Saccharomyces cerevisiae S288C: one gene and its partners. Changing the gene in region 4 together with the main gene of any one other region gives a genetic interaction. Each region holds a gene or a part of one and is shown on either strand. Other genes may lie near its edges. The genes, in order: ATP20, FAR10, SSK2 and FIS1.

Region 1 (2,737 bases), on a different chromosome or scaffold from region 4:
ACAAATTAAAAAGCAGAGAGGGTAGGAAGAGATTTTGTATCGATGACGACGCAGGCAATGAAGAGACAGTAGTTCATAGTAACGGTGAACTCCCACAGCAAAAGTTTTACTCTGATGATAGAAAACATGCCAATTATTACTATAAAAGCTGTCAAATTGCGAAAACATTCATTGATTTGGACAATAACTTTTCTAGGTTTGACTCTTCAGTTTATAAAAACTTTCAAGAGCACCTAAGAAGCATTAACGGGTGATTTATTTTCTTCGTCAGTTTCTCTGTACATATATATGTATATATTTACTTATTATAATTCATAGCAAAATATATGTTTTTTTTTTTTTCTTATAGTGAGAAAAATTACTAATGATCCTGAGATCAATTTCACTGTAGTTTTTACTATAGTGCAACAAGTATGTTGTTCTTAATAAGTGTAATGAAAGCTCTGAGGTCAAGTTTTCTTTTTTACAGAAAAGTTATATTGGCCTATTTCATAAATAACTGGCGGCAAGAAGCTAATGTAATATAACTCGATATCGCTTTTAATGCCATTGTATGTCATGAAAAGAAAATAAATAGAATTGAGATGAATATATATTCTTTTTTCTAGTTTTGTTCTATTTGTACATTGATTTAATTTAATTAACGAATATACAAGGGTTTTGCGAATAGATAGAATTAAAAAGCTTAGTGATGTTTATATCCCACTAATTTTCTTCTTCCAATTATTTCACCGACAGAATAAAACCCTATCAACTGAATACCATATGCGCCATATTTTAATAGTTCATTCTTTTGGATGTTTTTTAAACACGATAAAACTTCTGTAGGCTTTAGAGCAAAGTTTAGGCTCTGCTTATAAAGGTTCGAATACACTGATTTGAACTGGGCAACAGTTGGTGGTTGAAGACCCTCTTTTAAATAAATCTGTTTTGAAATCTCGGCACCGACTTTACCATAGTATAAAGCCTTTGATGACAAAAGATTTGCTTTAGAAACCAACCCACTGGTATAATTTTGGATCCTGCTTAGCATGATGAATTGATTAGCGTTCTGAAATATGATTTATCGGCAGGTTTATCTTGTCGATTTGGACTGGAGTAGAAAATATGAGGGATCTTTGCATCTTCATTTTTCGGTCTTTAAATGTAATCATCCTTCGGGATAAATTTAGTGCGTTTAACAATATTTTCTTTCAGCCAATCAGGAATAAGAAAAAAGCCGCCCACTCAATCGAGCCTACATACAGTATTGAATAGTGTTACAAAGCATAAGGATGTAAAAAATACAAACTTGCTATAATTAATTAGTATTTATTAATTGTTACGCAGGGAATGATTGTAGTAGACAGCATCAGACACGGTTATTCAGGCGAACTGATCTCCTTACACCCTCGCCAAGGACAATGACCTTGTCCTCTTGTTGCAATCTTGACAAGGCTTCCTGGATATCAGAAGACTCAACTCTATCTTGAGAGTGTTCATTGATTTGTTTTATAAGCTCATTGAATGACATTGAGTCTGATGCCTGATCCTTCAAAACATTCATAATTTCCCTTGACAAATCCTCCTGTAGTTTTCTCTGAATAACTGATTTACCTGTTTGAACTAAATTCATGTCGATTTTACCGGTTTTAGGGTCTGTTGCATAATCTTTTATGGCTGATCTAATTAATCTAACGGCTTCTTGAACATCCTCCAGCTCTACGACGTTTTTCAATTTCATTTTGGCGTGCGCCTCAGCCAAACGAATCATACTTTCAAGTTGTCTTGTGGTAGCTGTGATTCTCTTCTCATCGGATCTCGAATCGTCACCCATCTTTCTCATTCCTACATAAGCACGAACAAGCTCAGTCTTAGCGGCCTCGGTGATTATTGGGTGTATGTGCTCCTTTGCATAACTAATATACATCGTTAAAAATTCAACTGGTAGCACGTCGTCTTGAGAAATATGTTCGGGCTTATCTTCCAGGTAAAGATTTGTTAAGTGTTTGGCTAGTTCTCTGTCATTTTTCTCATCAACCTTATCAAGGACAAGATAGACCAGATCGAATCTCGAAAGTAGTGGGGGCGGTAGATCAATATTTTCAGTCACAGGCAAATTGGGGTTGTAGCGTGAACCAATTGGGTTAGCACTGGCCAAAATAGAACTTCTGGCATTAAGTGTTGTGATAATTCCCGCTTTTGCGATTGAAATAGTCTGCTGTTCCATGACTTCGTGCAAGACGGACCTTGTAGAATCACTCATTTTATCAAACTCGTCAATACAACAAACACCTCCATCAGACAATACTAATGCACCACTTTCCAAAACAAGTTGTTTTGTGTCGACATCCCTTGTAATATAAGCAGTTAAACCAACGGCAGATGAACCTTTACCCGAAGTATACACACCACGAGGAGTAATTTTGTGAACGTATTGCAAAATTTGCGATTTGGAAGTAGAAGGATCCCCACAAAGTAAAATATTTATGTCACCTCTATAACGGCCACCCTTGGTAAAGGTTTTATTCGTGCCGCCAAATAGCTGAAGTAATATACCCTTCTTGACATCTTCTAGCTCGTAAATACTTGGGGCAATAGAGCGGGCTAATAAACTGTATAAATCTTCTCTTGCCGCAACCTCGCGAATTTTTGCTAAATCCTGATCAGTAATTTGTCTTACTTCTTCGACCTCGTTATGATCTACCTTGTTCTGCATTAATTCTTGTTCAATAGTAGAAGTATCGACGTCTAACCT
Region 2 (3,854 bases), on a different chromosome or scaffold from region 4:
GAGTTTGAGCCAACTTATACAGGTGGGAAGAGGATTAAGAAAACTATGACGCCAGATCAGATAGCGGCTTATGAAAGTTTCATTCCAGAAACGCAAAAGGACAACCCACGACCAAAGTTTGTTCAAGTGGAAAGGGGTGGACAAGTAACATTTCATGGTCCAGGCCAAATTGTTATTTACATTATTTTAGATTTGAAAACATTTCAAAGTTTCCCTGCTAAATGCTTGGTTTCATGCATTGAGCAGGCCACTATCAGAACGTTGAAGAATACCAAGATGTGCGACGACACTGACAAGCCTTTGAACTTAGATGCTATGACTACAAAGGACACTGGAGTTTGGGTTGAAAATGGCAAGAAGAAAGTTGCTAGTGTTGGAATACACGTCAGACGTTCCATAACATCGCACGGGGTAGCAATTAATGTTAATACAGATCTATCGTATATGAATAGTTTTGAAATGTGCGGTTTGAAAAATACACTGACTACTTCAATTATGGAACAACGACCCGATGCTGTTGTAAATGTGCAAAGTGTAGCAATTAGTTTTGTCAAAGAAATGACAAAGCTGCTAGGAATAAAAACTTTGGAAAGAATGCAAATTGACGACGTCAATATTTTGAAAAAGAATCCGTGAGACGGATGACTCCCCCCATACTTTCTTAAATGAAAGGATGCTTACCTTTTTTTACATGTGAATATCTATTACATATATACGTACGTATATAATAATCTCTGACGTGAAAAGCGGATCGTGTGTGTCTTGTATTTACGATGCTAGTTGGGGGAAAGGATCTTGAAGACAATAGCTATAATCCCGATGGAAATAGTTCCAAATGTTAATAGTGTGAAATGATTACATAGCGTGTTCTTGATGCTAAATTTGTCAGTACCCTTAGGATTCATGCCCGGGACGCCTCTAGTGTCATGTTCGGTAGTCTTTTTTTTAGATGCAGTTGAGAGTTCTTGTTCTTTCTGTTTGTTCTTCTTCATCATTTGTGAATTCTTATATCGTTCCACTTCTAACCTAGTTTTCAAGTCTTCTATTTCCCTTTCCATGCTTTTTTGCTTTTCATTATTTCTTCTTTTCTTCACTTCAAATGACTTTTTGAAAAACATATGGTCCCTTTCCAACTGTTTTACTTGATTTCTGTTTTGTTCGATAATCTTTTCGTATTTCCCCGACAGTTTCCTTCTTAATCCATTTTGCAGCTTTACCAGTTGCTGATCATTTTTTTCCACTAAAAGTTTGTTCGTGTATTCTAGATGTGTCGTATAATTAATTAAGAAATTCTCCATCGACTGTAATTTAAAATTATCGCATTTGGAAAATGGAATTTCCATTGCCAGGGTTTTGATGATATTAGATAAAGTCGGGCTCGTACCAATACAATTATTAATAAAAATTCCACTCAGTATTTCTGTATCAGAGCCCAGGATAACTTCTTCCAATTCTAGGTTGTTGGAATCACCATATATGTGACTTGTTATGGCAGCAGCCTCCTCTTTTTCTGTAATTGTATGGCAATCATCACTATCTTCATTTTCAAAAATCGGTGATTCTAATAAAGGTTGTACAAATAGTTCTTCAACTGTGGCACTTATTTTTCGATGCTCAATTTTCGTATCTATATCTGTTCCCAAGTCTATCACATCGCCAACTTTGATTTCTACGTCATTTGAGCCAATTCTTTGACCGTTAATGAACGTACCATTACTGGATTTTAAGTCTCGTATATATACCTTACCCGTGAGCGGGTCGCAACTTAACAATGCATGATTCCTGGAGAGTACTCTTGAATCGAAATTACCATTATCGGACCTTACTTGGGAAAAAGTGTGTGAATCCACTCTTTTACCGCCCCTGAGCGATGAACTGGAGCTGCTATTACTATTAGCAACAGGCCTTCCCAATTTCAAACCATCTGGTTTAAATGGTATCACCACATGTTTGCTCTCAAAAGTTCCATTTAGTGATGTGAGGACTAGAATGTAAGTATATTTTCTCCTTGGTGTTCTTGATATGCTATGTGGAAAATAGCTTTTTGTTGGGTCGGCTATTCTCTTGTCATACTTTTCAATTGGCCTCTTCGATGAATTCGTAGATCCATCAATTAGATTTGCATTCTTGGGTATACTATTATATGTTATCTGTTTCTTGCCCGGAGAACTGGGGTGCTCCTCCTTATTTATTTCAGGTCCAGGACCAGTCATTGGATTCGATTATATCTATAGCTTCCAATATAACCAACGACAGGCTCCTTGTGAGGGTTACTTTGTCACTCTTGCCTTAATTTTGTGTTCACGTAGTGCTTGTGACTTTCAAGAACAAATTTTTAATTATGTTCCGTTATGGTAAACAAGTGAAATTTCAAAAGTTGAGCACCACGATTACGGAATAACAACAAATAACGAAGGTTGAAGAAATTAGATAATAGATGAGAAAAAAAGAACACCAGAGAGAGAACAGGTGCTTTCTAAAAGATTTCAATTCAGGGCGAATAATAGTAGTCCTTACCCCTTAATATATTGGAATATAATAGGACTAGTTAGACGCTGGCAATAAGATTGGTTTATTGTTCTTTTTTTTACGACTGTAACAAAGCTACGTTATTTTTTGTTTTTCTTTTTTTTTAATTTATTTGGTATTATATATCTAGTGTATATGTTATTATTAGGAAAGAGCTGTTATTTAATATTAAGTGTGAACGAAGGAAAATTTCGTAGGTAAAAAAATTAGTGCAGAGAGCCATTAAATGAAAGGGAAATTTTATTCTTAATTATTTTTTGCAATTTTATTTCCCACTAAGCAGCTTTTTCACTGGCGGTGGAGGATTGCTTTTCATTATTCTTATGATGAACTATTTCAAACTCATTGGTGTTTTCAGAGCTAGTTTTGACCAACTCAGGTATTTCATCGTCGGAGCCTTCAGGTCTGTACTCGTGGCCGGTAGTGTAACCTTCGCCTAATGTGTAAGCGCGGATTTCTTCTTCAGAAATTTCACTGTATGGAACCATGCCCTTCTTTCTTGCTTCTTCGTCAGTAAAGGCACCATAATAATCTTTGTCATCATGTTTGACAGTAATTTTGAATGGGAAGAGGAGGCATAGTCCCCAATAGACGAAAAAGGAGATCAAAAACGAGAAGAAGGAGTCACCGTAAAAGAAATTGACAATACCAGTGTTGTGGAAATAGTCATTATTGACTTCCCAAGCAATACCAGGTAGACCGGGGGTCATACCACAAACCCAGGCAACAATAGCTCTCCAGTTAACACCCTTAGTGAAATAGTATTCACCCTTGAGAATAAAGGCATTAGTGATGGAGTATTGTCTTTTTCTGATCAAGAAGTTATCGCAAATCATGACAGAAATGATAGGAGTCATGACAACACCGAAAGAACTCATGACAGTCAAGAAAGTAGAAGAAGAGTTGTAGAAGTTCCATGGCAAACAAGCCCAGGAGACACATGCGGCAAAAAGGGCACCCCTCTTGATGTCGACATACTTGGGTAATAAACCGGCCAAATCCATACCACTGGCAAACCCACAGTTGGAGATGGTGTAGGACATTTGAGATAGGACAAATGAAAGACCACAGAAGAACGCACCGGCACGAGCACCTGCAGAATAGTTAGTTGTCAACCAATGGTTGAAGATATCCATAGGCATCCAATATTGTTCACCGTATAGTTTGTCACAGGTGGAGGCACCAATAACACCAAAAACTGGGATTAAAGTGGTTGGAATTAACAATGCACAGATGGTACCGGCCCAGATAGCCCAATTGGAGGAACCAAATCTCGAGTAATCACTTTGGTTGGTGGAACCTGGAGAAACGGAACCGAACCAGTA
Region 3 (7,557 bases), on a different chromosome or scaffold from region 4:
GAAGTGCCTTGCTGAAGATAGTGTAGGTGATTTCAAAAAAGTATTGTCCTTGCAAATTGGCACCCAACCAAACAAAATTGTGTTGCAGAAGGGTGGAAGTGTTTTAAAAGACCATATCTCTCTGGAAGATTATGAGGTACATGATCAGACAAATTTGGAGCTGTATTACCTGTAGAAAATGCGCTGTTTTTTTTTTTTTGATCTAAATACACAATACATACATTTGCAACCGAGAGAGATAGAATATGTAGAAATAATAAGATGGCGTTGTCTCTATAATGCTTTTCTATTGTTTAGTAAGCTACAAGAAGTAATCAACATGTCTGTTAGAAGCAGATCTGGCTTGGTATACATCTGAAAATATGTACATTTCAGGGTCCGTGGAGCCATCTGCGGAGGCAGAGTCGTCTTCGAAATAATCTGCAATCAATTTCCTGTTGGCTACCGGATTAGATATGCTATCTTCTAAGGCATTGTCGTTCATACTGTTCTCTTTCAACAGTTTATTTTCAGGTGCCTCTTCGAAAACGTTGAAGTAGAATTGATCTTTACTATACAGCTCCAGAATAGATGCTTTATTGCCGCACCGATAACAATAGTTTGGCGCCGACCATACAGTAGTAACCAATCCATCAAAATATATCTGGTAACCTTCGTTACATAACTGATGGGCTCTGTATATTCTGTTCATATCGTTCATACGTAAGAATTTCTCCACCACGCTTCTTCCGAAAGTATAACCTGCTCCACGAGGTGACACCTGGAAATGTTGTCCAGAGTTATCTGGATGATCTAACGTGGGGTTATTGTTTTCTTCCGGATCAGACCAAACCAAGTCTGCCATGGCGCCATCGTGTGGAATTTCTCGAAATCTATCAATAATCTTGATCTGATCTATGGTTTGAACATTGGGCGAGAGCCCACCATGAACACAAAAAATTTCGTCGTCGATAATACAGCATAACACTAGATAGTCAAATATATCTGTCAAATATTGCCAAACTCTTGAATTGCCACCGTACTTGTTCAAGCACTCCGTGTAGAAACCATAGCTCTGCGTGATTTGACGTGACTCGTGGTTTCCCCTCAAAAGATGAATTCTACTAGGATATCGAAGCTTAAGCACAATCAATAGCATAATTGTTTCCACACTGTACAACCCCCTGTCTACATAGTCGCCCAAGAACAGATAATTCGTATCAGGAACAGGGCCGCCTATTTGGAAGATCTCCAGCATATCGTGAAACTGTCCATGCATATCCCCCACGACTGTGACAGGGGTCTGAATGTGAATCACGTTTGACTCCTTCACTAGCATTTCCTTCAGCTTAAAGCAGAGTGCCCTTACAGTCACTTCAGGTAGTAACTGGGCCTTGTATAGCCTTTCTAAACATTCGTCCAATTCCATCTCTACTGGGCCAATTCTCTAACCAAAAATAAAAGTACACAGTGGGGATACAACTGCAATGAGTGGAACTTAATAAACAGTCACGAACTGTTCCAAATTACCTACAACTCGCTGAAAATACCGCGTTTCATACCCTGAAACAGTGGGTATTTTAGCAGTTTTGCATTATTAATTACTGCTCCATCACCCGGGAAACTCGCGCCACTTTTCGGGCGTTTCTTTGTATGGAAAGAATTGATTAATCTGAAAAGAGTGATAAAGGTGGGTAAACAGAGATAGAAAGAAGCCAAATCTGCAGATTAGAAGAGGTTAGAAGATTGTAATTGTTGCTGCCCCAGTGTGTTATTGCCTTAGAGAGTAGTACTGTTAAAGAACAGCTAAGAACGGGTGTTTTCAAAACGAATTACTGGTTTACAAAGAATTCAAAGGAAAAAAAAAGGTTCCAGCATATTTGTTAACTTTTGTGTGAGCTCCGTCTGTCCTTCAAGTTACTATTGGGCAGTTTCAAGTACAAACAGTCTGCCATTACTAAAAAGAAGAGAAGCCTTTGCGTAAACTATTTGACAGGCACAAATAATGTCGCATTCAGACTACTTCAATTATAAGCCTTACGGCGATTCCACGGAAAAGCCCAGCAGCTCCAAGATGAGGCAGTCATCTTCATCATCTTCATCTAGACTAAGGTCGGAAAGTTTAGGGCGAAATTCCAATACTACGCAGGCTCGAGTAGCGTCATCGCCCATCAGCCCAGGGCTGCATTCTACCCAGTACTTTAGATCACCAAACGCTGTTTACAGCCCTGGAGAGTCTCCATTAAATACAGTACAGCTATTCAATCGTCTTCCGGGTATACCTCAAGGTCAGTTTTTTCATCAAAATGCCATTTCTGGGTCCTCCAGCTCCTCGGCAAGATCTAGTAGACGGCCCTCGAATATTGGTCTTCCTCTACCAAAAAATCCTCAGCAGTCTCTACCGAAGTTGTCTACTCAACCTGTTCCTGTACATAAGAAAGTTGAGGCTAGTAAAACAGAGAGCGAGATTATTAAGAAGCCCGCTCCCGTGAATAGTAATCAAGATCCATTATTGACGACCCCAACGTTAGTGATATCACCAGAACTGGCTTCACTAAATACAACGAATACATCGATTATGTCAACGCCACAAAATATTACAAACCAAACTTCGAACAAACACATTCCCACCAGATCGCAACCAAATGGGTCAACAAGTTCCTCCACTTTGCAGGATATTGTCACGACAAATAGCTCGCAACGGTCTGTAGGCCACCATGGTGGAAGCACAACGAGCCTCCGAACATACAAAAAACAATATGTATTAAATGAACAGTTATATTTAAGAAAAATGAGAAACCGTGCTAATGATGATTATTACACTAGAGGTATAGTCGCATCATCCAACTTTGAAGATGACGAAGAAAATTTTAGTAACAAAGGTGAAGATGACTTAGAACTAGAAATGGATGATCTTTTAAAGGTAGAAGGTGAGGATAAAGATAACGACTTCAATTTTGGTTATAATTTTATTACGTCGAGCACAAAAAATAATGAAAATGTTGTTTCGATGAGCCTAAATTATCTAAAGGGCAAATTGGATTGGTTGAGGGATGTGAACAATGATCAACCGTGTGAAATAGAAGATGAGGAGTGGCATTCCATACTGGGGAGCGAGGATTTGCTGTCAAAATTGTTACAAAATCCTATGGTGAACAACCGATTTGAATGGCAAACAATGTTATCTAAGGTACTGAAGGGAGATATTGTGAGGAATGAAAAAACGAAGATTGCAAATCAAGGGAAAGGCCCTGGCTTCAATACTCAGTTTTCAGATGACATTTGGATTGAGTTGAAGGCATGGATGAATGGGAGGACCGTGGAAGATCAGAACAAATCTCTGAGGATTTTTAGGGATTCTACTGACTCCGTATTTCAAGAAATCATGGCCTTTAAACTAGAAGATAATATGAGCGCTGACGAGGCTGCAGAGACTATCAAATCACTAGTAGACAAATATTATAGAGTCTTAAATCTATGGCCTAACATTAAAAGAATGCATGCTGAAAAACCCATTACTAAAACAGAAGCATTCAGGAATCGAATAGATACTTTGAATAGTTGGCTTAATTTCAAATTTAACTTTGATACTAATATTGCGTACCTGAAAAAATGGATAGTTGGCAATAAAGAGCTAGAAAGCACTACCGAAGTGGATAACACCACCGTGAATTTGGATGATCCAGCCGTTTTCGCCACTAATTGTAAACGCTTTGCGGAGCAAATTATGAAGGAAAAGGATATTGAACTGATATTTCAAAAAAAAATATTCTTTCCATTAGCACCATGGATTTTGAAGGCCAAATTTTTCTTCTTGAAATACCAAAAAACTTGGAATGAATTGAATCTATCTTATTTGGATCAAGATCTGGAATTTTTATTGATGTTTCCAATGCGTTTGGTAAAAGATATAATACTAATTCGCCTATCTTACGCGAAGAAAATACAGAATCCAACCTTGATGATGATCGATCAAATGATGGACGATTTTAGTACATATATTAAGTTGGCAGTCCAAATGAAATTCACTGTTGCTTCTTACTGTAATGACTGGTTTTTTAAAGTGAAAATCGATCCCGAATTTGATCATACCGTTGTTGAAGGATTGGAATATTTTTTCTCCATTTTGGAACTGAGAATATTATATAGTGGCAAAAACTCATTCAAGACTTCTAAAGAACCTGATCTGTTATTAAAATATTGGGAAATGTTTAGAAACGTCGGCTATTATATTGATGATGCAGGCGAACTGATCGCAGCAGAATTTACGAAGTTGACACTTAGATTGGTTCACAGATTGCACGCTTACCTTTTAAGGCAGCAAAACACTCCGCCAAAATTAGAGAATGAAGCTGCTGCTGAAAAATGGCTGGTGCAAATATTCGAAATACTTGGATCCATGAAAAGAAAACTCAATAGATTCACCAATATTTTGACAAAAGCATTTCAAAATTTTGTCCGCTACAAGATAGAAGATCACAACTATCTGCTAAAGCAACTAAAAGAAACAGGCCACTTTCTTATATACACAGGAGGTTACCTAGAGCAAAATGGTACTTATTTAATTGGTAGCCCAGAGCTATTAGGCTGTAAAGATGATGATATTTTAAGAATCATTAAGAATTCAGACATCGGTTGTGATTTAGTGCCTAAGCTAGAAATTAATAACAGTCTGACAATTTATAATGCTTTGGATGATAATTGGAACTCCAACTCATCACTGGGTTCAGATATCTCGAATGATGGTACCCCATTTTATTATATCAAAAACGATTTGACCACCCAGCCTAGATCTTATAACGGTAATAGAGTCAATCGTGAACCGGATTTTGAAAACAGCAGGAGCACGGAGGAAGAGTTTTATGAACTGGAGACAAGATTGAACTCTCTTGGTTATGTATTGGTATTGACTCCGCAAGAGCCATTACTTTGGGAGGGTGAGATGTATAATCTATCCGATAACAAAACAATTAAACCAGAGGGATTGAACTTGAAAGTAATTCCTAATTCAATAGATTTGATGTGCCAAGGATCCAGTTATGCCTTAGAATACCAATGTGACAGGTTCCAACAGATATCTGGTAGCTCAGTTTCTTTCTTGGAAAAAAAATCTTCCTCAGAAACGGTTAAAAACAACTTACAAAGGATAAATAAAGCATATTTCAGATGCACGTACAGTGTTCTGAAGAACTATACAAAGATTGTGACCACGTTCAAGAAGGTAAGTCCTGTCAATGATTTATTGAATAATATTTTCCTTTTTGGGAGGGATTTTGGTCTGAACTTTTTGAGAATTAATGTTGCCAACAATGAAAAAAGATCCATTATAATACTTTTAATGATGCGGTTAAGTATCGGATGGCTGAAGTTCTTAGCTGAAGACTGTGATCCGACTGATCAAAGGGTATTTAGGTGGTGTGTCACGTCAATGGAGTTCGCGATGCATATGGTAAGCGGTTGGAACATACTAGCTCTTGATGAATGCCAATTTTCTTCTTTAAAACAAAAAATTTCAGAATGCATGTCATTACTTATTTCTCATTTTGATATAATAGGCGCACGCTCCATAGAAGTTGAGAAAATCAATCAACAAGCTAGATCAAATCTTGATTTGGAAGATGTGTTTGACGATGATATGATGCTACAAGTGAATTCCGAGTTCCGAGTACAAAGTATAATGGAATTGGAAGAAAGGATAAAGCGGAATCCTCATCAAACTGGTAAAGTAATTGATGATAGTGACAAAGGTAACAAGTACCTTGTTTCTTTGGCATCTTCCATATCGAACGTTTCTATGAGATGGCAAAAGAGGAACTTTATTGGTGGCGGTACTTTTGGAAGGGTATATTCTGCTGTTGATTTGGATAATGGTGAGATTTTAGCAGTCAAGGAAATCAATATTCAAGATAGCAAATCAATGCAAAAAATATTCCCCTTAATCAAGGAGGAAATGAGTGTCTTAGAGATATTGAACCATCCAAATATAGTTTCATATTACGGTGTTGAAGTTCATCGTGATAAAGTTAACATCTTTATGGAATATTGTGAAGGCGGTTCCCTAGCAGCTCTTTTGGAGCATGGTCGTATTGAAGATGAAATGGTCACTCAAGTCTACACTTTACAATTGCTAGAAGGACTTGCATATTTGCATGAATCCGGCATTGTTCACCGTGATGTTAAACCCGAAAACATCCTACTAGATTTTAATGGTGTTATTAAGTATGTTGATTTTGGTGCTGCTAAAAAAATTGCTAATAATGGAACTAGATTGGCAAGTATGAACAAAATCGAAAACGCAGATGGTGAACACGAAGATGTTACCCATGTTTCTGATTCAAAGGCAGTGAAAAATAACGAAAATGCTCTATTAGACATGATGGGAACTCCTATGTACATGGCTCCAGAATCCATCACTGGATCTACCACCAAAGGCAAACTTGGGGCAGACGATGTTTGGTCGTTAGGCTGCGTGGTATTAGAAATGATCACTGGTAGACGGCCATGGGCTAACTTAGATAATGAATGGGCTATCATGTACCATGTTGCTGCAGGACATACCCCACAATTCCCTACTAAGGATGAAGTGTCGTCTGCTGGTATGAAATTTCTGGAAAGATGTCTTATTCAAAACCCCTCCAAGAGAGCCAGTGCGGTTGAGCTGTTGATGGATCCTTGGATTGTACAAATTAGAGAAATAGCCTTTGGCGACGATTCTTCCTCTACAGATACTGAGGAAAGAGAGTAGTTAAGTTGAGAAGGTTTGTTGTATTATATGTAAAATCAAAATATAATGTAGTGGGGGGAGAGTATATAATGTTAATTCAAGGATAGAAGATTAATGATAGCATTTTTTTATAATTGTTTTGATTTTGAGAACAGAAATTTATAAAGGTAAGATATAAAAGTGAAAATTTGAAGTCTAGTCGAGGTGGATTAATGTAAAACGCTCGCTATATATTTTATTGGAATTGACGTTAGCTATTATCAATCAGTTTTTTCATCTTGTTTGATTCTCTTATAGGTGAAGAAGACATCGCTTTTAACAATCGAATTGGCCGTCAATTCTTTCAAAAAAACGGTAGGGGTCTTGTCGAAAATGATCTGTTTGAGTAGAGACAAAACATTCACTCTCTCTTGGAAAACAAAGTTCTTAATGTAGGTTGGGTCAAATCCAGTAAACATCTTTGTTGTGTTAACTAGCTCCCAATGGTTGGTAGTCTTATTCTCGAATGGCAATTGAGAGGCGGTTGGCTCGTGGGTGATCAAGAAATCAAAGGAGGGCCACATTTCCTGCAGTAAAGTCGTATTTTCAGTCTTATCGTAATTGATGCCGTACACACCGTAGTTCAATTCACCAAATAAAGTGACACCTGTCATGCAAGGAGGTATGCTGATATGAACTGTAGCGTTTGTAATATTTTTTTCCACAATCATGTCATTAAAAGAAGTTAAAGCCTCGCCGCCTGGATAATTCATTCTTGATATATACAAGAACGCCATTGAAATGAAAAAGGAGGTCATTATAGATAAGGGCAATATAGCCAAACATAAAACATTGGTAATCTTTTTTACTTTCAT
Region 4 (2,846 bases):
CAATACGGTTTGGGTCTAAACCGTATGACAAACGGGTGATACGGGAGGTAATTTTATCGAATTGAACGGGCTCTTTGCGGCCGTCTCTTTTAATAACGTACATTTGTGTGGGAGTATTTGATTTATTGCTGCTGCTATTCTTGCTTGTCATATTTATTTCAACTTGGATATGAGATGAGAGAAAGGCAAGGAAGAAGGCAAAAGAAGGCAAAATAGCAGTGCGTTTATATACGTTTTGCAGCAGAACACGAAACAATATAAAGAACGCTGACACGAAAAACGAAACGCGTCAGCATCTCACAATACAGTATTACGATTTAACAATAGACTATTGTTTTTTTCCCATCTTGTCGTTTGGTCCTCGCCATGGCAACCGGGTTTTTGCCCCTTTGAGCAGCGCCTAGGTGTCGTTGCTGCGACAACCACGAAAAAAAAAAAAAAAAAAAAACAAAAGAACAACGGCACGCAATGTTGCTGTGACAACCGTAGGCAGATAACTTGGCTTTTTTTACTACTTTAGGAAAATTAGCAGCCAAGAACGAGGGCTTGCTCTGCTACCTAGTTCAAACTGAAACAAGCCTTCACTTTCTTTTCTTTTCTTTTTTTTTTTATCTAACAACTGAAGATTAAATGATAAATGTTTACGCGTGCGTGCGATTCATTCTTATGTATGTACGTATGTGCTGATTTTTTATGTGCTTGTTACCTTCTCTTGTTTCTTAAGAAGAAACTAGCCACGGCCACAGCGCCGGCTAGTACGCCTCCAGCGACGACAACACCCTTGAGTGTTTCCTTCTGGATCTTATCCTCTACCATACTCTTCAAAGCGCCCACCTGCTTGTTATTACGCTCATGCTCAAATAAAGTGTCTACATATCTCTTCGCCATAGAGTATTCACCGAGTTTGTAGCAACCTATGGTCAGATAATATAGGCATTCTCGTCTACGGGACTCGGCCTCTTTGTAAATGTCTGTGAGGATTTTCACACCAAGCCTTTCGTCATTCACGTCAGTGGATTTGATCAGCCCCCATGCGTAGTTAAACCTTGACTGTATGGTAGCGGTGGGCCCCCCCTCGGAGACGACTTGCTGGCGCAGAATCTCCAGCTGCTGCGGATAGAGTGGTTCGTATGCGTCCTTAAGAGTTGGCCAAAAATCTACTTTGGTCATACTTATGTTGTATGGCTGTGCTCTGATCTGTGCTTCTATGTGCCGTTTTTACGCAAGGTATATGATAACTTCTGTGCAGAATAGTGGCAATGGCAGCTTTGCTTTGAAAGGGGTCCAGCCTAGCCCGCTTGCGGTGTTCCGGCATAAATGCGCAAAAAGATTGGTTCATGAAAAGAAGTGAAAAAAAATCGATGAGCTCAGCTCTTAAGAACGGTATTATGGAACGAACTCAACCCGAAAAGGTAGTACAGATGCAGGGCACGGCAGATTTGAGCACTTCGAAACTTGGTACGAAAAAATACTGGGATGAACTGTATGCCCTGGAGCTGGAGAATTTCAGGCGGAATCCGCAGGATACCGGGGACTGTTGGTTTAGCGATAGCGATGCTGAACAAAAGATGATTGATTTTCTGGTAGATAACATTGGTGCGTACAGAATTTCTGAGAATGCTTCTGTTGTAGACCTCGGTACAGGTAATGGACACATGTTATTTGAACTGCATCAAACGGAATTCCAAGGGAAACTGGTCGGGATAGACTATTCTGAGGAAAGCGTCAAACTCGCTAGTAATATAGCCGAGGCCACCGGTGTTGACAATTTCATCAGTTTCCAGCAAGCAGACATCTTTAGTGGTGACTGGAAGCCGGGAAAGTATGACATTGTGTTGGATAAAGGGACCCTAGATGCCATTTCATTGAGTGGCATGAAGATCAACGGTAAACTTGATGTAGTCGATGTATACGCCGGAGTAGTGGAAAGGATTTTGAAAAAAGACGGTATTTTCTTGATCACTTCTTGTAATTTCACACAAGATGAACTAGTAAAGATCATAGAGACTGATAATTTGAAAATGTGGAAAACAATAAAATACCCTGTTTTCCAATTTGGCGGGGTCCAGGGTGCGACCATATGTAGTGTAGCATTTGTTAAACAAAACTGATTTGTTTTTATCTTTGATTTATTTTTAACGTTATTTCTCTTTACTTATTTAGGAACGGATTTAACTATAATGTTATACAATTCATCCGTGGTTTCCTTCTTACCAGTCTTTATGGCGTACTGTGCAGGATCACCGTTATCATCTACTGCTAGTAATCTTATGAATTTTTCGCTTTGCAAAGAACCTGTAAATCCTTTTTGCACAGTGAACCCCTTGACCAGTTGGATGTTTAAAATGACTTTTAAGATACCACGAGACCTCATAACAATACGCGTCTTCTCGACGTCGTCCTTACTTTTATTGATTTTGATGATACCAACACCTCTTTCCTTCCAGCCTTCTTTTATGTTGGAAAGTTGGTACAGCTTCGCATTGACTTGATATATGCACTCCTCAGACTCTTCACCAGACTTGACTTCCTGTTTCTGCAATTTGAGGGGTTTTGGTTTGTCTTTTGTATCTTCTGAGGCATTCGCTAGTTGTTCAGATCCACTATGGACTTTATCTTTGTCAACATCAGTAGCTTTCTTTTCACTTTCAGAGTTATTTTCTGTTTTGTTTTTCAGTATGTTGAAGCCGCTGCCAAATGATAAACCTGAACCAAATGCAAATGGCTTCTTTGTTTTGCTGTCAGAGGCTGGTAAACTTTCAGTACTGGTAGTTGCATCTCCATCTTTCGTGTCCTTTTTGGCAACACCAAACCCAGTTCCAAATTTAGATGCGGCACCAAACACG

What was found.
Region 1: mutations in FIS1 (region 4) and ATP20 together harm fitness more than expected from each alone (negative genetic interaction), as found in Saccharomyces cerevisiae (4 studies listed by BioGRID).
Region 2: mutations in FIS1 (region 4) and FAR10 together harm fitness more than expected from each alone (negative genetic interaction), as found in Saccharomyces cerevisiae (2 studies listed by BioGRID).
Region 3: mutations in FIS1 (region 4) and SSK2 together harm fitness more than expected from each alone (negative genetic interaction), as found in Saccharomyces cerevisiae (3 studies listed by BioGRID).

The regions. Positions count from the first base shown.
Region 1 is NC_001148.4:598,166-600,902, reverse strand, and holds ATP20 (F1F0 ATP synthase subunit g), read right to left. Parts: upstream 1,034-2,737; coding exon 686-1,033; downstream 1-685. Other genes in the region: AGC1 (citrin), read left to right, coding at 1-254; MCM DNA helicase complex subunit MCM4, read right to left, coding at 1,352-2,737. UniProt on the Saccharomyces cerevisiae protein: Mitochondrial membrane ATP synthase (F(1)F(0) ATP synthase or Complex V) produces ATP from ADP in the presence of a proton gradient across the membrane which is generated by electron transport complexes of the respiratory chain.
Region 2 is NC_001144.5:613,114-616,967, reverse strand, and holds FAR10 (Far10p), read right to left. Parts: upstream 2,214-3,854; coding exon 777-2,213; downstream 1-776. Other genes in the region: lipoyl(octanoyl) transferase LIP2, read left to right, coding at 1-636; thiamine transporter THI7, read right to left, coding at 2,805-3,854.
Region 3 is NC_001146.8:679,861-687,417, reverse strand, and holds SSK2 (mitogen-activated protein kinase kinase kinase SSK2), read left to right. Parts: upstream 1-1,984; coding exon 1,985-6,724; downstream 6,725-7,557. Other genes in the region: ubiquitin-like protein HUB1, read left to right, coding at 1-175; putative serine/threonine-protein kinase PPG1, read right to left, coding at 302-1,408; ALG12 (dolichyl-P-Man:Man(7)GlcNAc(2)-PP-dolichol alpha-1,6-mannosyltransferase), read right to left, coding at 6,964-7,557. UniProt on the Saccharomyces cerevisiae protein: Kinase involved in a signal transduction pathway that is activated by changes in the osmolarity of the extracellular environment. Activates the PBS2 MAP kinase kinase by phosphorylation.
Region 4 is NC_001141.2:240,606-243,451, forward strand, and holds FIS1 (Fis1p), read right to left. Parts: upstream 1,171-2,846; coding exon 703-1,170; downstream 1-702. Other genes in the region: ribonucleotide-diphosphate reductase subunit RNR3, read right to left, coding at 1-103; EFM4 (Efm4p), read left to right, coding at 1,422-2,111; YRB2 (Yrb2p), read right to left, coding at 2,156-2,846. UniProt on the Saccharomyces cerevisiae protein: Has a role in mitochondrial fission. Has a role in outer membrane fission but not matrix separation. Required for targeting MDV1 to the mitochondria.